3 linked regions of the Arabidopsis thaliana genome follow. The protein of the gene in region 3 interacts with the protein of the main gene of each other region in a pairwise test. Each region holds a gene or a part of one and is shown on either strand. Other genes may lie near its edges.

Region 1 (7,926 bases), on a different chromosome or scaffold from region 3:
ATAGGGAAGATTACTTGACGGAAAAGAAATTGCGGTAAAGAGACTATCGAAAATGTCCTCACAAGGGACCGATGAGTTCATGAACGAGGTTAGATTAATTGCAAAGCTTCAGCACATAAACCTTGTCCGGCTTCTAGGTTGTTGCGTCGATAAGGGTGAGAAGATGTTGATCTATGAGTACTTGGAGAATTTAAGCCTTGACTCGCATCTCTTTGGTTAGTGACTCAAACAGCTTCTGTTCTAATAATTGAACATTTTTGTGAAAACGTTAACTTGTTGTTGGTTGTGTTGGATGTGTAGACCAAACACGAAGCTCTAACTTAAATTGGCAAAAGAGATTTGATATTATCAATGGTATTGCTAGAGGACTTCTATATCTTCACCAAGATTCACGGTGTAGGATTATCCATAGAGACTTGAAAGCAAGTAACGTATTGCTTGATAAAAATATGACTCCAAAGATCTCGGATTTCGGTATGGCGAGGATCTTTGGACGGGAGGAGACAGAGGCTAATACAAGGAGGGTGGTCGGAACTTAGTAAGCAATCATTCTTCAACAAAACAAAAAAAGAGCTTTTATCTCAAGTCCAAATATTTTCTTAAAAACCTCATAACATATGAGTTTATATTTTGTTATGCAGCGGCTACATGTCTCCAGAATATGCAATGGACGGGATATTCTCGATGAAGTCGGATGTTTTCAGCTTTGGGGTCTTGCTTCTAGAGATTATAAGTGGAAAAAGAAACAAAGGATTCTACAACTCAAACCGTGATCTTAATCTCCTCGGTTTTGTAAGCTAAAAACCTCTTCAATTCGATATTGTTTTGCATTCATAATCTGATTATAACACTAAAGAAATATTACATCCTTTATGCACAGGTGTGGAGGCATTGGAAGGAAGGAAACGAGCTAGAGATTGTAGATCCGATCAACATCGATTCTTTGTCATCAAAGTTCCCGACACATGAAATCTTAAGATGTATACAAATTGGTCTCTTGTGTGTTCAAGAACGAGCCGAAGACAGACCAGTGATGTCCTCGGTAATGGTGATGCTTGGAAGCGAAACTACCGCTATTCCTCAGCCTAAACGTCCTGGATTTTGCATTGGTAGAAGTCCTCTTGAGGCTGATTCTTCTTCAAGTACACAGCGCGACGATGAATGTACAGTGAACCAAATCACTCTCTCGGTCATTGACGCTCGGTAATTTGTAACTTACGGCCCAATCTGTTTACATGCATATCATTTTATAGGTAAGTCTAAATAGATTTTATTACTACATATATGATTCGATATCTTGCTCTATCTAATTTAATTTAGACAAAAGATTCACCACATGTTTCACATGATTTTGATTTAGAGCGAGAATTATAAAAAAAAAACATTTAGACAAAGACAAAAAAATGCAAGATTTGGAGTTGTCACTCCAAGATTTGAAGTTTGAGACCGAAACTCAATTAAGTGGGAATTCAGTAATGATTAATATTCACTTTTTGTACATACTACTGATAATAGACCAATACTGGAAGCGAACATAGGACTTTATGGCTATTACAACAGAGGACTTTATGAAACAAATCGAATATATACCTTAAACTTTTATGAATTCATCGGTGAAGCATTCTCTTGCATATAACATTTAGTATGTCGCCAGCAACATTGAAATTTTGTCTATTCTCGTACACACACACACAAATGGTTGAGGATATTATTTTTTTGGAGTAAACGAAGAAAAGTCAGTTACTAGGAAATTACAAAACCATAATTATCAATTTAACGACTTTTAAGGTCATTGACTCAATTCTATAGTGACATAGTCTATAGATATTTCAAAAGCGAACAAGAAGACCAAGAAAATGTAGCTGAAAATGAAATATTATCAACAATAGAGAGAAATCGTGTAAATGACGTTCACACATTTCAACACCAAACATGTCGTAATCTCCGAAGATAAAAATTCTCAATTATATGTACATAAAATTTTCATAAGAAGAAAATAAAACAGAACACAAGAAAGTGTCCTAGCTAGAGAGAGAGAGAGAGATGAGAAATGTACCAAACTATCATCATTCTTACTTCATATTATTCATCATAATTCTGTTTCTTGCTTTCTCTGTTTATGCAAGCAACTTTTCAGCCACAGAATCTCTCACTATCTCAAGCAACAAAACCATTATATCTCCTAGTCAAATCTTCGAGCTCGGTTTCTTCAATCCCGACTCAAGTTCACGTTGGTATCTCGGCATATGGTACAAGATAATCCCTATAAGAACCTACGTATGGGTTGCAAACAGAGACAATCCTCTCTCTAGTTCCAACGGAACTCTCAAAATATCCGACAATAACCTCGTCATTTTCGATCAGTCCGATAGGCCTGTTTGGTCGACGAATATAACCGGAGGAGATGTGAGATCACCAGTGGCTGCAGAGCTTCTTGATTACGGTAATTTTGTTCTTAGAGACTCCAAAAATAATAAACCAAGTGGATTTTTGTGGCAGAGTTTCGATTTCCCGACAGATACTTTACTATCGGATATGAAAATGGGATGGGATAACAAAAGCGGAGGATTCAACAGAATCTTGAGATCTTGGAAAACCACAGATGATCCGTCAAGCGGAGATTTCTCGACTAAACTCCGAACCAGCGGGTTCCCGGAGTTTTACATATACAACAAAGAGTCCATAACGTACAGGAGCGGTCCATGGCTCGGAAATCGGTTTAGCAGCGTACCGGGGATGAAACCAGTTGATTACATAGACAACAGTTTCACAGAGAATAATCAACAAGTTGTTTACTCATACCGAGTCAACAAAACCAACATTTACTCGATATTAAGCCTAAGCTCCACGGGACTATTACAACGATTAACTTGGATGGAGGCAGCACAGAGTTGGAAACAGTTATGGTACTCACCAAAGGACCTATGTGATAACTACAAAGAGTGTGGGAATTACGGTTATTGCGATGCGAACACTTCACCTATTTGTAATTGTATCAAAGGGTTTGAGCCAATGAATGAGCAAGCGGCTTTGAGAGATGATTCTGTTGGTTGCGTGAGGAAGACGAAGCTAAGCTGTGACGGTAGAGATGGGTTTGTGCGGTTGAAGAAGATGAGACTGCCAGATACTACAGAGACAAGTGTGGACAAAGGAATTGGGTTGAAAGAATGTGAAGAGAGGTGCCTAAAGGGTTGTAATTGTACGGCGTTTGCTAATACGGATATTCGTAATGGCGGTTCAGGTTGTGTGATTTGGTCCGGAGGGCTGTTCGATATCCGAAATTATGCTAAGGGAGGTCAGGATCTTTACGTTAGAGTAGCTGCTGGTGATCTAGGTTAGTTTTTCTTTGCTCTTTTGGTTTTTATTTTATTGTTTAGTTGACTAATAGGTTCTAAGCCAAGGTCCGTAACATAACGGCTTGATCCACTAGGTCCGACCATATAAAGAGTATATGGTCCACAAAGTATCTTGTTGATGTTTGGTCAATTTTTTTAGTTTATTACTTGAAGATATACAAAATACTAGAATAACTTATATATCAAAAGATTAATATGGCTTAAGCTAGTTCCAATACCAAAAAATATATTAATTATTTTGTTTATGTTATTGAATAATATTTTATCAAAAATACGTAAGTACAACAAAGTATACTTTGGAGTTATTATTATGATTGAAGAAAATATATGCCTCGTCTTTATTGCAGAGGACAAGAGAATCAAAAGTAAAAAAATCATAGGTTCGAGTATTGGAGTGAGCATTTTGCTTCTTTTAAGTTTCATCATCTTCCATTTTTGGAAAAGGAAGCAGAAGCGATCAATAACAATTCAAACACCTATTGGTAAATCAACAGCTTTCATTTCCTTTATTTTTACTTCAATTTTTGATAATTAAATGTCTTAATTGTTTTTTTCTGTGTGTCTAAATGAAACAGTTGATCTTGTGAGAAGCCAAGATTCTCTAATGAACGAATTGGTAAAAGCAAGCAGGAGTTACACATCCAAAGAAAACAAAACCGATTATCTAGAGCTCCCATTGATGGAGTGGAAAGCTTTAGCCATGGCAACAAACAATTTTTCGACGGACAATAAGCTTGGACAAGGTGGTTTTGGTATTGTTTACAAGGTAAACATGACTCATAACTTGTTGAAAATCTATCACTGGCAATGGTTTCATTGAATAATCAAATGTGTGGTAATAGGGAATGTTACTTGATGGAAAAGAAATCGCGGTAAAGAGACTATCGAAAATGTCTTCACAAGGGACCGATGAGTTCATGAACGAGGTTAGATTAATTGCAAAGCTTCAGCACATAAACCTTGTCCGGCTTCTAGGTTGTTGCGTCGATAAGGGTGAGAAGATGTTGATCTATGAGTACTTGGAGAATCTAAGCCTTGACTCGCATCTCTTTGGTTAGTGACTCAAACAGCTTCTGTTCTAATAATTGAACATCTTTGTGAAAACGTTAACTTGTTGTTGGTTGTGTTGGATGTGTAGACCAAACACGAAGCTCTAACTTAAATTGGCAAAAGAGATTTGATATTATCAATGGTATTGCTAGAGGACTTCTATATCTTCACCAAGATTCACGGTGTAGGATTATCCATAGAGACTTGAAAGCAAGTAACGTATTGCTTGATAAAAATATGACTCCAAAGATCTCCGATTTTGGGATGGCGAGGATCTTTGGACGGGAGGAGACAGAGGCTAATACAAGGAGGGTGGTCGGAACTTAGTAAGCAATCATTCTTCAACAAAACAAAAAAAGAGCTTTTATCTCAAGTCCAAATATTTTCTTAAAAACCTCATAACATATGAGTTTATATTTTGTTATGCAGCGGCTACATGTCTCCAGAATATGCAATGGACGGGATATTCTCGATGAAGTCGGATGTTTTCAGCTTTGGGGTCTTGCTTCTAGAGATTATAAGTGGAAAAAGAAACAAAGGATTCTACAACTCAAACCGTGATCTTAATCTCCTTGGTTTTGTAAGCTAAATACCTCTTCAATTCGATATTGTTTTGCATTCATAATCTGATTATAACGCTAAAGAAATATTACATCCTTTATGCACAGGTGTGGAGGCATTGGAAGGAAGGAAAAGAGCTAGAGATTGTAGATCCGATCAACATCGATGCTTTGTCATCAGAATTCCCGACACATGAAATCTTAAGATGTATACAAATTGGTCTCTTGTGTGTTCAAGAACGAGCCGAAGACAGACCAGTGATGTCCTCGGTAATGGTGATGCTTGGAAGCGAAACTACGGCTATTCCTCAGCCTAAACGTCCTGGTTTTTGCGTGGGGAGAAGTTCTCTTGAGGTTGATTCTTCGTCAAGTACACAGCGAGACGATGAATGTACAGTGAACCAAGTCACTCTCTCGGTCATTGACGCTCGGTAATATGTAAGATTGTAAGTTATCGACCCACTCTTTTTATATAAAAATATAGACACAGGGCAGTAAGGTCTCCACACTAGGGGCTGATACTTTGCATCAGTCAGTGATACCTTGTGTAACAAGTTTCCTTTGCCTCCATGGAACGTATACAAAAGTTGTATTCAACTTCGTTGTAAATATAATTAAGATAAAAAGAAAAAACCAAAGAGGGTATAAACCCACAAGGATAGCTACAATTTCCGGAGATCCGGATGAGGAGGAAGCATGATACCAAGCTTGAGAATCCTTACAAAATCCCACTACTGCGATAGCATTATATTTATAGTGAAGAAAAATTGTGATCTAAGATGATACACATGTTCAGTGATCACTGATCAATGACCAATTTAAGTATGTCTGACAAATAGCAAAAGATAATAAGAGAAAAGTCACAAAAGGACGCAAAAGAAGCAGACACACAATGTTTTAAAAGACCAAAAGGAATACCAAATTGTCTGCTTTTGACAAAGAAACAGTCAAATTTCACTTAGGATCTTTGGGGTTAGATGTTGAAAGTTGAACCTTTCTTCTAATCTTCCACAGTTTCTTTAGCTTCACTTGTTTCCTGCAAAACAAATAAACAGAGAATATTACTGAAACTGCTTTGAAATCTCAAAGACTCATCAAATAAGCCTTACTTGATAGGTTTAGGACTCACAGTTTCCTCTTCCACAACACTGAGCAACGCAAATGATCTCGAAACATCGCTTACAATATCTTTCTTTGAACAAGAATTGGAATCAACCGGCCATTGCATTGGTACAACTAAATCACTGCATCATTGTGAAAACATAAAAACATAAATTTCTCATGTTTCAGATTAAATTAACACCACAAAAATTTAACTAACTCACCCTTGAGAGCATATGTATCGACACCGACTTATCTTGCCTTTCGTGTATCGCCTGTAATGTTTCTCTAGATGTTCTGTAACACGAGAAACATCAGTAGATGGCAAAACCTGCCAGATCTTCAAAACTTGTACATGTTGATTATTATTCTTGAAAATATCTATCGCCCAAATAAGACTTAAGCCATCATCAAACTCATGTTGTCTCAACAAATTCTCACTTTCAAACTCAACCTCTTGATGAAGCTCTTTCCCATTAGATAACTTCTCCAAAAAGCTCATAACTCTTTTATTAATTTCCGAGTCTACGATCGTTTCCAGAGATTTCAAGAACTCGTAGCTGAGCCAAACCTTCCATATCGAATTCTCAAAAGAAATAAGCTTCTTGTTTTGAAGCTTATTAAGATCATCAAGTGCTGTTGTTGATCTTTCAATACACTGAGCTAATGATTCATCTTCTTCTGCATTATGGAAACAGTTTCGTGCTTTCGCATCATCTACCAACTGTCTCCACACTGATCTATTGTTCGTTAAAGTCGCTTCGTTTCCAAGAATCCATAAGCAATACCTACAAACAAAAAGAGCTAAATCAAGAAACTGAGCATAGCTAAATCAAGAAACAGAGAAAATGTTTACATACCTCGCACGAGTGAGTGCTACATTAGTTCTTTGTTGGTTAGATAAAAAACCAATAGCTCCATTACCGTTAGACCTGACTGTTGAGATTATAATGATATCTTCTTCACCACCTTGAAACCCATCTACAGACCTAACACTCACTGTAAATGTCCCTTCGGTATTATACTTTTCGCCTATCCTTTCTTGGATCGCAAACACTTGAGCTTTGTAAGGTGAAATCACCCCTACGCTTATCGTTCTCCCGGTCTTTCTTGATACTAAAGATTACATAACAAAACAAAAATCAACATCAAACTTTACTTTAAAGACTGATCTGAATCAACATTTTGTTTACCTGAGTAAAGCTTTGAGACTATCTCAGCCACAACAGAGACTTCCACTAGGTTTTTCGAACTATATCCTTCACCAAACTGTTCTCTTCCATAAGCTATGTTGATAAAAGAGTAAGGTCCATACATTTTCTCAGGAAGAAACTTTTTTTCATAACTTCTCAGTCTCACAGAAGGAGCATCCAAAATCTTCATATCGTAAAACTCTCTGTTCGGGAAAATACTAATCGAAGGATGCATTCGGTACTGCATGTTCAGCAACTGTTTATTATGTCCCAACAACACCAATCTTTCGAACAAACTCCTCCCAAGATCAGCCTCTGAAGCAATCTGCACATAACTTATTAAGTAAGCAAAGAGAAGAGAGTGAATATGTGTATAATTAGTTAATATAAGAGAACCAACATTGCTTTTTATCATTGCAGGCAATTGCTTCTCATCACCGATCAAAATCGCATGTTGAAGTCCTCGAAGCTGCAATGGTATCGCTGACTCGCATTCTTTTAACTGAGCAGCTTCATCAATCACAAGAAGCTGTATTGGACTACTCATGTGTAACCTAGCAGAGCTTGATGCTGTGCAAAACAACAGATATGCATTATCTAAGCAGAGTTTTTGAAGTTCGAACTTGGATATAAAATCCGGAAGTTTGATACTCATAGAAATCGATG
Region 2 (7,395 bases), on a different chromosome or scaffold from region 3:
GGTCTTCTTGTTCGCTTTTGAAATATCTATAGACTATGTCACTATAGAATTGAGTCAATGACCTTAAAAGTCGTTAAATTGATAATTATGGTTTTGTAATTTCCTAGTAACTGACTTTTCTTCGTTTACTCCAAAAAAATAATATCCTCAACCATTTGTGTGTGTGTGTACGAGAATAGACAAAATTTCAATGTTGCTGGCGACATACTAAATGTTATATGCAAGAGAATGCTTCACCGATGAATTCATAAAAGTTTAAGGTATATATTCGATTTGTTTCATAAAGTCCTCTGTTGTAATAGCCATAAAGTCCTATGTTCGCTTCCAGTATTGGTCTATTATCAGTAGTATGTACAAAAAGTGAATATTAATCATTACTGAATTCCCACTTAATTGAGTTTCGGTCTCAAACTTCAAATCTTGGAGTGACAACTCCAAATCTTGCATTTTTTTGTCTTTGTCTAAATGTTTTTTTTTTATAATTCTCGCTCTAAATCAAAATCATGTGAAACATGTGGTGAATCTTTTGTCTAAATTAAATTAGATAGAGCAAGATATCGAATCATATATGTAGTAATAAAATCTATTTAGACTTACCTATAAAATGATATGCATGTAAACAGATTGGGCCGTAAGTTACAAATTACCGAGCGTCAATGACCGAGAGAGTGATTTGGTTCACTGTACATTCATCGTCGCGCTGTGTACTTGAAGAAGAATCAGCCTCAAGAGGACTTCTACCAATGCAAAATCCAGGACGTTTAGGCTGAGGAATAGCGGTAGTTTCGCTTCCAAGCATCACCATTACCGAGGACATCACTGGTCTGTCTTCGGCTCGTTCTTGAACACACAAGAGACCAATTTGTATACATCTTAAGATTTCATGTGTCGGGAACTTTGATGACAAAGAATCGATGTTGATCGGATCTACAATCTCTAGCTCGTTTCCTTCCTTCCAATGCCTCCACACCTGTGCATAAAGGATGTAATATTTCTTTAGTGTTATAATCAGATTATGAATGCAAAACAATATCGAATTGAAGAGGTTTTTAGCTTACAAAACCGAGGAGATTAAGATCACGGTTTGAGTTGTAGAATCCTTTGTTTCTTTTTCCACTTATAATCTCTAGAAGCAAGACCCCAAAGCTGAAAACATCCGACTTCATCGAGAATATCCCGTCCATTGCATATTCTGGAGACATGTAGCCGCTGCATAACAAAATATAAACTCATATGTTATGAGGTTTTTAAGAAAATATTTGGACTTGAGATAAAAGCTCTTTTTTTGTTTTGTTGAAGAATGATTGCTTACTAAGTTCCGACCACCCTCCTTGTATTAGCCTCTGTCTCCTCCCGTCCAAAGATCCTCGCCATACCGAAATCCGAGATCTTTGGAGTCATATTTTTATCAAGCAATACGTTACTTGCTTTCAAGTCTCTATGGATAATCCTACACCGTGAATCTTGGTGAAGATATAGAAGTCCTCTAGCAATACCATTGATAATATCAAATCTCTTTTGCCAATTTAAGTTAGAGCTTCGTGTTTGGTCTACACATCCAACACAACCAACAACAAGTTAACGTTTTCACAAAAATGTTCAATTATTAGAACAGAAGCTGTTTGAGTCACTAACCAAAGAGATGCGAGTCAAGGCTTAAATTCTCCAAGTACTCATAGATCAACATCTTCTCACCCTTATCGACGCAACAACCTAGAAGCCGGACAAGGTTTATGTGCTGAAGCTTTGCAATTAATCTAACCTCGTTCATGAACTCATCGGTCCCTTGTGAGGACATTTTCGATAGTCTCTTTACCGCAATTTCTTTTCCGTCAAGTAATCTTCCCTATTACCACACATGTGATTATACAATGAAACCATGTGCTGTGGTAGATTTTCAATATGTTTTGAATCACTTTTACCTTGTAAACAATTCCGAATCCACCTTGTCCAAGCTTGTTGTCGTTAGAAAAATTGTTTGTTGCCGTGGCAAGAGCTTCCAACTCCAACAATGGAAGCTCTAGGTACTCACTTTTTTTTTCTTTGGATGTGTAACCCCTCCTAGATACTACCACATCGTTGATTAGCGAGTCTTGGCTTCTCACTTGATCAACTGTTTCATTCAGGCGTTAAAAAAAAAAAAAACAATCAAGACATTTGATTATCAAAATTTATTGACAAAAATAAAGGAAATGAAAGCTAATGATTTATTTTACCATTAGGTGTTTGAATTGTTATTGATCGCTTCTGCTTCCTTTTCCAAAAATGGAAGATGACAAAACTTAAAAGAAGCAAAATGCTCACTCCAATACTCGAACCTATAATTTTTTCATTTTTGATTCTCTTGTCCTCTGCAATAAAAACGAGGCATATATTTACTTCTATACGAAAAATATCCTTTGTTGTACGTTTGATTAAAAAAAATTAATACGAAAAATAAACAAAATAATTAATTTAACTTAAACAAAAATTCTTTTTGGTATAATGGTATTGGATCTAGCTAAACTCTTATTAATCTTTTGATCTCTAATTAAAAACAGATGACAAAAAAAAAAAACTAAACAAATTGACCAAACATCAAGAATGTACTTTGTTGACCAAAGCCTCTATAGATTAGGGAGTTTGAACTTTGCTTCGAGAGGGACAATATTACATGACTTGGTCCGCAGATTGGGAAGATATATTGACTTTGGGTCATAACTTTTTAATCAAAACAAAAAGTAAGAACCACTTTAGTAAATGCAAATAAGAAAGAAACTAACCGAGTTCAGCAGCGGCTAGTCTAACGTAAAGATCCTGACCTCCCTTAGCATAATTTCGCATATCCAAAATCTCTCTGGTCCAAATCACACAACCAGACCCGCCATTGCGAATATCCGCATTAGCGAACGCAGTGCAATTACAATCTTCTAGACACCTTTCTTTACATACTTTCAACCCAATTTCTCTGTCCACAATTGTCGCCGTGGTATCTGGCAATTTCATCCTCTTCAACCGGGTAAAACCATCTCTACCGTCACAGCTCAGCCTCGTCTTCCTCATGCAACCAGCGGAGCCATCTCTCAAGTCCCACGCTTGCTCATTCACTGGCTTAAACCCTTTGATACAATAACAATTTGGTAAACTGTTCGAGTCGCAATAACCGAAATTCCCGCACACTTTGTAGTTATCGCATAGGTCCTTCGGTGAGTACCATAGTTGCTTCCAACTCTGTGTTGTCTCAAACCAAGTCAATCGTTGTAATAAACCCGCAGAGTTTAAGTATAATCTCGAGTATAAGTTTGTTTTGTTGATTCGGTATGAGTAAGTCACTTCCTCCTTACTTGCTGTGAAATTGTAAACCATGTAATCAACTTGAATTGTCCCTGGTACGCTGCTAAAACGCATTCCATTCCATGGACCGCTGCGGTATAGTATCGACTCCTTGCTGCATATGTAAAACTCAGGGAACTCGCTGGTTTCGAGTTTTGTCGAAAACTCACCGCTTGATGGATCATCTGTTGTTTTCCAGGATCTCAAGATCCTGTTGAATCCGGTTTTCTGATCCCATCCCAATTTCATCTCCGCAAGTAAAGTATCTGTCGGAAAATCGAAACTCTGCCATAGAAGTCTGTTATTGGAGTCTCTGAGCAAGAAATTACCGTTATCAAGAAGCTCTGCAGCCACTGGTGATCTCACATCTCCTCCGGTTATATTCGTCGACCAAACAGGCCTATCGGACTGATCGAAAATGACGAGGTTATTGCCGGATATTTTGAGAGTTCCGTTGGAGCTAGAGAGAGGATTGTCTCTGTTTGCAACCCATACGTAGGTTCTTATAGGGATTATCTTGTACCATATGCCGAGATACCAACGCGAACTTGATGCGGGATTGAAGAAACCGAGCTCGAAGATTTGACTAGGAGATATAATGGTTTTGTTGCTTGAGATAGTGAGAGATTCTGTGGCTGAAAGAGTGTTTGGAGAAACAGAGAAAGCAAGAAACAGAATTAAAATGAGGAAAATGAAGAAAGAATGGTGGTAGTTTGGTACACTTCTCATCTCTCTCTAGGACAGTTTCTCGTGTTCTGTTTTCTTTCTTCTTGAGGGAATTTTATGAGAATTTGAGAATTTTTATCTTCGGAGATTCATATTATTGTTGATGTGTGCCGTTATTTACACGATTACTCTGTATATTACATTGTTGATGATATTTCATTTTCGGCTGTCTTTTCTTGGTTTTCTTGGTTTTCTTGGTCTTCTTGTTCGCATTTGAAATATCTATAGACTCTGTCACTATAGAGTTGACCTAGCAAATGACAAGAAAATAACTCGTTAGATAGACATTTACTTATCAGTGTTTTTGTAATTTTCTTAGTAACTGACCTTTCTTCGTTTACGCAAAAAAGAAACAAATCTCGTCAACACTCCTTATTTGTGTGTGTGTGTGGCCAGGCCTATGCGTGTCTCAGAGAGATATAAAACTAATTTGTGTTTTTCTCGTTATAAATAATCTTTTTTTTTTGGTTTTCTTTCCTTTCCTACGAATATCAATTCATGAAAGAAATTAACTTACACCACCAAGCTTCAACTATTTCATTCGCTAGACAAGTAAATCATTAACCTTAGACTACAAAATGACATTTGTTTGGCAGAGCTTCGTATTCGTAGTGCTGTGTGTACTGGCCATCGCATCATGACCGGTTCAATTCTATCATGGGTTCTAGAACAAAATTGTTTTTTGGCTGCCCTTATAAATTTCTTTTAAAGATTTTACATTATTTAAAAAAAATTGTATGACAGTTCTAATAAAATTTAGTTATTAAAAACAAAAGCAATACACAAAATATTTATGGGCCCTTCTGTTTTATTATTTATAAAATTTAGTTATAAAATTTATTATTTATTACAAATAATGAGACTTGTTACATAAACGATTTTACAACGTACAATTCCTTTAAAGTCACCAAAATATTGTCAATAAATATTAGGTGCAATCATAGGTTGTTGTTATTCTTGATTTGTTTTGTATGATTCTTACTTGTTCAGATCGTATAAACTCATCAATACCACTTGAAGGAGTTATCAATATTTTATTTCCATGCTTTATATTTTTAGAACTTTATCTTTTTATTTTTGCATAGAATTGAGCCATCTCATAACATTTGCTCTTAATTGATGCACTCTCTCTTTAAATGAATCAAGAAATTGTTAACTGCTATATTACCTTCAACATTTTTTTCTAATTCATATATAATTTTGTATTATTGTGTAAAATTTTGTCTTTATAATATTATTTGACATAGATTTTATTTTATGAAAATTTTGTCAATACAAATAATTATTATTAATGTTGAAGACTATGCAAATGCAAAAAAAAATAGAAATAGATTTTAGAATATACTAAATTCTATTGCTTTCTTCTTCTCTAGCTTCTCTCTAAAACATCCACGAACACATCCTCTTTTTTTAAATTAACATTATTGTCATAGCCTTATAGGACTATCTAGTCATGTTTAGCTTATGGCGTAGATAGGCTAGATTGCGAAAGCGTGTAAACCGGTTAAATACGAAACGTAATTACTTTACATAGTAGACCCGTAAGTAAACAAATAACTCAAGAAAGCCCCAAAATTTTACCATTTTAGTTAATTACTTCTTCTCCTCCTTTCCCTCCAAATCCTTACTCATCCATGTCCTTCTAAAAGAAACCTCTGTTCCTGTCTCCCAAAACCAAACCCTTCTTCGTCTCGAAGTAATCAAACTCTGACAACAACAACTCGAATTCAAAGTAAGCGGCTAAAATTTCATTGCATCATCTTCAAATTTCGTTGCCACACGCTCTAATGTTCAAGCCAACGTTAGAATTTAGGGTTTTTCATTGCGAATCTCAAAATCCTAAGACGTTGTTTACCAAAAAGAACAAAGAAGAAAAAACCTTACTTTACCTTTCAATGATCAATGGTTCTCGTAAAAATAGTTCCTTTTGCTTCTCTGTTATAGCCAAAAGTGTAAAGTTCGTACCTTTGAGGGTTCACTTGTTTAATGGGTTTTGTTGCGTTAATCTTTCAGAGTACGAAATCGAGTTTGGTAACTTTAATATAAATGCCGAGAATGCGTATTGAAGGAAGAGATTTAGTCGATCTGGTGCTCTCATGGTCTCTTGACGAAGTTCTCAATGTTGATCTTTATAAAGGACAGGTTCTGTTTTACTTTCTTGTGTTCTCTGTCCCATTTGAGTAAAGAGAAGCTTCCTAGAGAGTAATTTTGTGTGTTTGATTGCTTATAACAGGTGGAGAAGATACCTATGGAGTTTGAATCAACCGGAGACTACTTCAAGACCTTTATTCCTCCGCTTATCGAAGAAACACATGCCGCTTTATTGTCGAGTATGAGGAAGTTGTGGCAAGCACCTGTGGTTGAAATAAGCTACATTATGCAAACTGCGGAATATAAGCTTCCTAATGACTTGTTCTATAAAGTGCGTTTGAGTGGAATAAGTAATGAGGCTAGTACAAAGTTGATGCCTAGAGATCTTATCTCGCTAACAGATCAAAGACCAAACCATGTTGATGGCTTCAATATTTCCAGTGAACCTTATATAGTTGCTTTAGTGTGTAAGGTAGATCCAGATAGGCCTAATGATGTAACTATCTTGGCTTCAAAACCTCTTTTCGTTGAGGATGGAAGGAGGAAGAAGAATGAGAAGAAAGAACGCCTTTTCGGTATTCATCTCGTCAATTTAACTACTAATATCCGTATCTGGAATGCATTGCATCCTGGTGATGAAGGTGTGAACTTGAATCTTATCTCAAGAGTCCTTCGAAGAAACAGTGAGGTAAAAGATATTGATAAACTCTGTAATAGCTTTCGATGTTTGTAGTCATATCATTTTTGGCTTCTGCTTGTGTAGGATGAAGGATTTTGCATTCAGTGTTTACAAGAAGGAAGTGATGGTCTTGCTCCTCGTCGTTTTCTCAAGCTGAATCCTTCACAAGAAGATGCAATACTGAATTGTTTGGATGTTAGAAGATGCTACCACGCGAATACCGTCAGACTTATTTGGGGACCACCAGGGACAGGGAAGACAAAGACAACAAGTGTGTTGTTGTTCACATTACTGAATGCAAAATGTAGAACCTTGACATGTGGTCCAACGAATGTTTCTGTTCTTGAAGTGGCGTCGAGAGTTTTGAAACTAGTCTCTGGATCATTGAAGATTGGTAACTATGGTCTTGGAGATGTAGTTTTGTTTGGGAATGATGAGAGGATGAAGATTAAAGATAGGAAAGATCTTGTTAACATCTTCATTGATGAACGTGTTGATAAGCTTTACCCATGTTTTATGCCTTTTTACGGGTGGAAAGCTACTATCGATGGCATGATACGTTTACTTGAGGACCCGAAAGGACAGTA
Region 3 (6,712 bases):
GACAGCATTGACTTAATGCCACAAATCTCTTATGCCCTTGAAAGCTCTTTTCAACTTGCAAGTTTTGTTGATTTGTGAGGACTCCCTCGTTTTCTAATGCATGATCTTGCATCATCATTGGCTGAATATTCAGAATTTATAGCATTAGTAAATCTGTTTTCCTCCTTGTTTGTAGTATGGGATCATCTCCTTTTTCATATGGTACATTTTTTCTTTTATTTTGACATTTAGTGTTTCAATAGTACCTATCTACAGACATCTGATTTGCTAGGCCTTGCACCAACTTTTTTCTAATCATAAAATCAAGTTTTGAAATCAGTTTGAGTTTTGAGGAAAATAAATTTCTTGTGCAGGCCTAACGATATCGCTTATGTCTATTCGGGATATGCTCCTCTTAGCATTCGTCTTATCCAACAAGCTATTCATTCTGGATGGTTAGTACGTTCTTGCTTTCTTAATTACCAAAAAGAAAAAATGTTCTTGCTTTCTTCTAGCCAAAACTTTTGCCTAGGTAGTTTAACACATAGGCTTTTCTGAATAAGTATTAAACTAAGAAGAAAAAGTCGAGAATCTGTTCAGTTTCAATTTGAGAAGCACTTACGTGAAAGGGCTGATAAAAACTCAGCATAAGGAATCCATGTATGAATGAATAGGAGAATTTTTGTCTGCTTCCTTTGAGGCAAGAAAGAAATGCGCAAATAGTAAACAGCAACAACTTTACTATGATAAAGCAATATAACCTAGGTTACGTTCATGATTGATTAGTGTGCTGTATTGATGTCTCAATCTACCTTACAGGCGTCCTATGGAAGACATTTTGAAGCTGTTACCAGGACCCCATCTGGAGACTAAAAGAGTCAGTACACTTTTTCCTTTACCCAATTAGAGAGATAAATGTAACCTCTCTTTTCAACTATTTTTCAATTGCAAATATATCACTATGTCCCTTCTTTGTGCAGAGTGGATTCCCAAGTAGTCCATCAGTTGATTCATTGCACGGAGCTTCAAATGGGTAAGTTTCTCGTTAACAAATTAGTTTTGTACCGCGAAGTAAATTCGATAAAATGATAAATGGAATGATTCTAATGTGTAAGAGGTTTCATCTGGGACATGATTACAGGGTTGCTGATGGAAGACGCTCAATTGTTCTTGTTGTCTTCATTGGAGGTGTAACATTTGCTGAAATCTCTGCTTTACGGTATCTCGCCTCTAAGGTATATATCAAACTTCAAAAGTTTACCATAAAAAAAACACTCTTTTTGTCCGCTGAATCCTCCATTCTTGCTTCTGCATAAAATTTTATCAGGAAGGAATGGCTTATGATTTGATTGTTGCCACAACAAAAATCGTCAACGGCGCAACGTTGATAGAAACATTCATGGAAAAACTAGGCTGATCCGTAAACTGAGCGTTATGTTCATCTTTTCTCTTTCGAGTGTGTTTATTAATTCATTTTTTGTATGTCTTTGTTTATTTTTCTGGATCATTGTGGTTGCAGAGTGAATGGTATGCGTATGTGTATGTGTATATTAAATGGTTGAGATACAGCGTGATTATACAAATTCAATAATGTTTTCTTGGTACAACCTTTCACTTCAACTTCTGCTAGTTATATACGGCTTTACTTCTCCCTAATTCTCAAGCAAATCGAGAGTGTGAAACAGTAAATAATAGGGTTACTTTTACTTTTAAATATCAAATAGATATACACAACTCTGAGTCGAAAATTACATATAACATCATTACATAAGATTCTTATGTCAGACTCAAACCAAAGGTTCCTATACATATAATCTACACTGAAACAAATAACATTCCAAAAGAGCGAGGCTTTCATGGAACAGTAGTTACTGCAACACCTTCGGTTTGCTGAATAAGCTCCAACAAGCTCGCAGCTTTCCTCTTTGCTCTATCAGTGCCATTCTCAGTAAGTTCCTTCAAGGCCACATCTGCACCAACCTCTCTTGCTACATTTAGCCTTTCTATATTCCCAATACATAGATACCAAAGTATTGCTGCAGCATTTTCCCGGTTCCTTGGTGACCCTGTCCTTATAATCTCAACCAAAACCGGGATAGATTCTGCTTCAGCTATCGCTGTTTTCCCTTCTTGGTTAGTTGAAAGAATTGCTAAAATGGCCAGAGCCTCATCCACCATTCCGCCACCTGCATCTTTCAGTAATCTGGTCAGAGGGTCAACAATACCGCCTTTAACCGCCCTTGATTTGTTCCCCTGGTATATGCATAAGTTGAAAATCGCTGTAGCAGCATCTTTTTTGCCTCTTCGGGTTCCTTCCTCAAGCAAGCTTATAAGTGCTTGGATAGCTCCAGCAGCACCTATTGCCACTTTGTTTTCATCTATAACAGATAAACTGAAAAGGGTTGCAGCAGCGTTCTCTCTAGCTTCCATGCTTCCGTTCTTTAGGACTTCTACTATATCCGTTATGGCTCCTGCATCAACAATGGCTCCTTTGTTCCCTTCATTTATGGAAAGATTCAGAAGAGCTGTCACAGAATGTTCCTGAGTCCGAGGATCTGGTGAGGATAGAAGCTCTACAAGGAGTGGTATGGCTCCAGCCTCAGCGATACAAACTCTGTTATCCACGTTCCTCTTGGCTAGTAACCTTAATTCTCCAGCTGCAGCTCTTTGCTGTTCTGTAGTACCGTTGGCCAATTTCTCTAACAAGGAAAGGACAAATGTTCGATCACAATCTGAAGAGCTGCTTCCTCCTATTTTTGTGGTTCTACAGCTCCCTTGATTTTGCGGTAGCTCAATGCCGTTGCTTTCACACCACAAAGCAATGAGACTCTTTAACACATAATTAGGGGTTAATCCAGCATGTAAAAGTGTCTCCTGAGATTTCGGACATGTTTTATGACCAGCATCAAGCCACTTCTGAATTGATGATCTTTCATATGTCTGCAAGGTCGAAAAATTCAGCTATAACAACAAATACACAAGTTTAATAATCAAATTCACTACAATGCACAACGAAACTTGCAAAGCCAGACCTGTCCAGTGGAGACGATAACAGGATCCTTCATCAGTTCAAGTGATATCGGACACCGAAAATACTCTGGTATAACAGGAGAACGATGTCTCGAAACGATTCTGCTGCCAGTGGATGGATCAGGGTCTGAACTTTCCATTGTTACAAAGTCTACCAGGTTTTTAAGAAGTGAAGACATCCTCTCGAAACAGTCATCAGGATCTCCATCATATGAAAGAAAATACTCATGTATCGCATGCGATTCTTTCTTCAGCTCATCAATGGTAGTAAGTTGGAGCTCTTGTGAAAGTCTTTTGAGGATTATAGGGTCAGGATCCATCACATTCTCTGCCATAGCTAGATCATGGCTAAGCTGTAGATCAGACTCCTCCCATCTTTCTTTTGCTCTCTTGAACTGAAAATGCAGAAGCTGAACCTACAAATTCAGAGAGCTTATCATTAGAATTCAGATTTTAATCAACAGAAAAATATAGCCCTCCTTAAATCAATGCATTGAGAAGTACCTGTTCTCTGACTTCCTCTGATACCTCAATCTTCTCATAAGGAATCTGACTTAACGCTGCTTCTATCTCCACTGTCATGTCACGGAACTTCTCCACAAGAGAATCTCTATCGAAAAGCTGCCAGCAGAGAGAACACGAAAAAGGTCTCAACTTCTTGTTATCAGACTCAATTTGATTCATCCCAAAATAAGAGAAACAAGACAAAACCCAAATTCTTGATATTGTTAAAGAAGACAAAGACAAACAACAAAACCCTAAACACCAAAATCTTAAACCCTCGAAGAGAAAACAAAGGAAATTGCCAACTTTTGCCAGCTACCAAAGATATAAATACAAATAAAACAGAGCAAGTAAATGAGTAACCTGAAAAAGCTTGCTTCCTCCATTAACCGATCGAAAAAGCTCAAGACTTGAATCAAGAGCGATTCTCATAGCCTCAAACCCTGTAATCTGATCCTTTTTCAATTCAACATTGACGTCAATCAATTCCTCGAAGAAAGGGCTGAGAAGCGTGATCCTACGAACAAGATCGCCTTGGATCTTCCCAATAAAACCCCTTGAAGATGAAAACCCTGATATTTCTTTAACGGAGTCAACGAGTCGACTCATTAGCTCCTCGTGGGAACAACAATTCGTTAATCCCATCCCTCAGATTTTACTGTTCCAGAGGGCTTCAAAAGGGTTTTAACGAAACCAAGACGAGGAAGAAGAAACCCAAAAAACCAAGAGGAGGAACAGAAATGCTATGGAACGAAATAGTCTTCTCATCAACGTGACAATAAACACCTATTTGGACATGAAAAGTCTCATTTTGTCCATTTTCAGACCAATCATAATTTTTTCTATTTTATTTTGCCGTTAAATTTTAATATTTAAACATTGCATTTAGATTTTCATATTTATTTATTGCCTCAACTATAAATTTATGATATTAAGGTTGACCAATACAAATATATAAAGTTTTTAAGTTTGTATTTGCATCTGAAATCATCAAAAGTCAAATCCTTTGTATAATGGATTTCTCTACCTGTTTGTTAGTCTCTTTGAAATTGTCAAATAATTTCTTGATTTAGGTTTTGTTAGAATTGGCTGCAATAGTCTCTCCCACAAACTATACATGCATTGAATCATTTGAATGAAGCTTTACTCTTCTCTACTTCTGATGAATCCCACTAAAATATGTACTGATGATCCATTGCTTGATATAACTTGGGTTTCCACTTTTGAGGTTCGTAATATCCCCAGTTTCAAACTCAAATCTTCACATTATACAACACACTTGACTTAACAGATAGAGAAATATTGTTTTGAAACATTACATTAAAAAGTATGGAAAGATTAGTAGTCTGAAGACATGGCTGAAGATGAGATGATTCAACACTCCAATCATGACGAAGGAGCAGGACGAGGTAGCCTCTTGCCAATTTCCTATCAGACATGTGTACACTACAACAAGTTAAAATCTCATATACTTCGTATTAATCCATCTTTCTGCATCCAAAACTATTATCCTCCACAAACTACAAGAAATTAAATCTCATATCTAGCTGCATATCACTGCCTATCACTTTTCCATCCTCCAATTCCAAAGCAATGAAAGAAACGGATAATAAGATCTCAATAAATGCAGAGGACAAGAAAATCGATCATAAATCAGAGGCAAGAAAGAAGTGCACACCTCAAACAGTTGATTTATGTTATCGGCTGTCTTGGCTGACGTCTCAATGAAGAACATGCCGTTCTTCTCTGCAAGCTCCATTCCATCCTGTTAAGAAATTGAAAATGTGATACCACTGAAGAAGCAAGGACAATGAAAGTGACAACAAAATGCGCTACGGAATCTAGATGAAGACGTTTACGCAAACTCACCTCAGTAGGTACTTCTCTTTTTTCATGTAGATCAGCTTTGTTACCAACCAGAGCCATAACAATATCTGGGCTTCCATGCTTTTGCAGTTCCTGTTAGATTTATGGGCAGGGGTAAAACAATAGCACTAGATTCAATATAATGTTGATATCTTTCCTGCACGGAGTTGTGCCAAATGGCTTCATGGTAGCAACGAGTGCAAATTAATGGAACAAAAATGTCAGAGAAGTAAACCAGTTGCCCAACTAAATGATACCCATTATATACACAGACAGGAGTGCTGTTGGCTATATGACTGTCTGTAACTCTAATTTTCAGTCCTGGTAAAGATATAGCTCGGAAGCTATTGCACGAATCCTAGAAACATGAACGAAATGGAACCTTTTGAACCCCCTGAAAACATACCTTAACCCAATACTGTGCTTTCTTGAACGATTCAGGGCTTGTTATATCATACACAATAACAGCAACTCCAGCTCCACGGTAGTATAGTGGTGCAAGAGCAGAATACCTAAAAATAAAGTGAATGCAGGTTAAATCCTAGTAAGTTTGCAAAGCGTTTATCTAATAAAATAAGCAATACAAATCTGCATGAAGGGTTTAATACCTCTCCTGTCCTGCTGTATCCCATATTTCAAACTTCACTGTGGTAGAGTCTTGCAATGCTATAGTTTGGGACAAGAACGAGGCTCCAACAGTTACCTGATACATAGCTAGTAGTCTTGAGATCTAGTGGCAGATAAGTATACTCTAATAGTCTAATATTCACTCACATCAGAGCATGGTGTTCTAAAAAGGTGTCAGATGGTCAATAAAGACAATTAGATAACAAGGCTTTACTTACCTTAGATGTAGCGTCAAACTGACCACGTACAAATCGAAGGACAATACAACTTTTACCAACACCAGAGTCTCCTAATAGAACTAACTGCAATCAAGTGAATCCAAAAGTTAGTGGTATGTCTTACGCAAAGTTGAAACCAATTATACCACACTTGGCAAAATACTGCTGAGCAACAAGAAAATAAAAGGTGAAAGAAAAGGAATCATCTCCTTAACAATAGAAAAAGAGTTTCAAAAGTAGCTTGCAAAGCAAAACCGTCAATTATTAAGAACAAAGTTGAGGTTTTGCTACTACCATTCTATAAAGAGTGTATGTTTCTTCAAAAGCGCTTCACTAGGCTTATCACATCTTACAACATGCGTGGATTAAAATGTGAACAATCATATATAATGCAAGACCACAGATCACAAAAGCATGAACTTTCTAATAAGCTATTAGAAATTGCAGGAATCAGTGAAGAAACAAAGCAATCTCAACGAGATCAACAT

What was found.
Region 1: the proteins of PUB14 (region 3) and RK2 interact in a two-hybrid assay, tested with the Arabidopsis thaliana proteins (one study listed by BioGRID).
Region 2: the proteins of PUB14 (region 3) and RK1 interact in a two-hybrid assay, tested with the Arabidopsis thaliana proteins (one study listed by BioGRID).

Annotation. Positions count from the first base shown.
Region 1 is NC_003070.9:24,471,123-24,479,048, forward strand, and holds RK2 (receptor kinase 2), read left to right. Parts: upstream 1-1,750; 5' UTR 1,751-2,043; coding exon 2,044-3,334; intron 3,335-3,703; coding exon 3,704-3,838; intron 3,839-3,931; coding exon 3,932-4,122; intron 4,123-4,198; coding exon 4,199-4,409; coding exon of another isoform or gene 4,410-4,414; exon of another isoform or gene 4,415-4,494; coding exon 4,495-4,732; intron 4,733-4,835; coding exon 4,836-4,986; intron 4,987-5,074; coding exon 5,075-5,401; 3' UTR 5,402-5,765; downstream 5,766-7,926. Other genes in the region: RK1 (receptor kinase 1), read left to right, coding at 5-215, 301-538, 642-792, 881-1,207; AT1G65810 (P-loop containing nucleoside triphosphate hydrolases superfamily protein), read right to left, coding at 5,921-6,002, 6,076-6,210, 6,292-6,855, 6,928-7,183, 7,261-7,585, 7,661-7,926.
Region 2 is NC_003070.9:24,465,578-24,472,972, reverse strand, and holds RK1 (receptor kinase 1), read right to left. Parts: upstream 4,192-7,395; 5' UTR 4,042-4,191; coding exon 2,763-4,041; intron 2,352-2,762; coding exon 2,217-2,351; intron 2,114-2,216; coding exon 1,923-2,113; intron 1,847-1,922; coding exon 1,636-1,846; coding exon of another isoform or gene 1,631-1,635; exon of another isoform or gene 1,551-1,630; coding exon 1,313-1,550; intron 1,210-1,312; coding exon 1,059-1,209; intron 971-1,058; coding exon 644-970; 3' UTR 501-643; downstream 1-500. Other genes in the region: AT1G65780 (P-loop containing nucleoside triphosphate hydrolases superfamily protein), read left to right, coding at 6,085-6,180, 6,272-6,817, 6,893-7,395. UniProt on the Arabidopsis thaliana protein: Involved in the regulation of cellular expansion and differentiation. Mediates subcellular relocalization of PUB9 from nucleus to plasma membrane in a protein-phosphorylation-dependent manner.
Region 3 is NC_003074.8:20,318,970-20,325,681, reverse strand, and holds PUB14 (plant U-box 14), read right to left. Parts: upstream 4,330-6,712; 5' UTR 4,159-4,329; coding exon 3,877-4,158; intron 3,631-3,876; coding exon 3,514-3,630; intron 3,426-3,513; coding exon 3,012-3,425; intron 2,920-3,011; coding exon 1,834-2,919; 3' UTR 1,662-1,833; downstream 1-1,661. Other genes in the region: ATVPS33 (Sec1/munc18-like (SM) proteins superfamily), read left to right, coding at 354-434, 799-856, 960-1,012, 1,121-1,214, 1,307-1,396; ARA6 (Ras-related small GTP-binding family protein), read right to left, coding at 4,900-4,941, 5,192-5,278, 5,383-5,472, 5,786-5,891, 5,988-6,082, 6,225-6,308. UniProt on the Arabidopsis thaliana protein: Functions as an E3 ubiquitin ligase with specific E2 ubiquitin-conjugating enzymes. Undergoes auto-ubiquitination.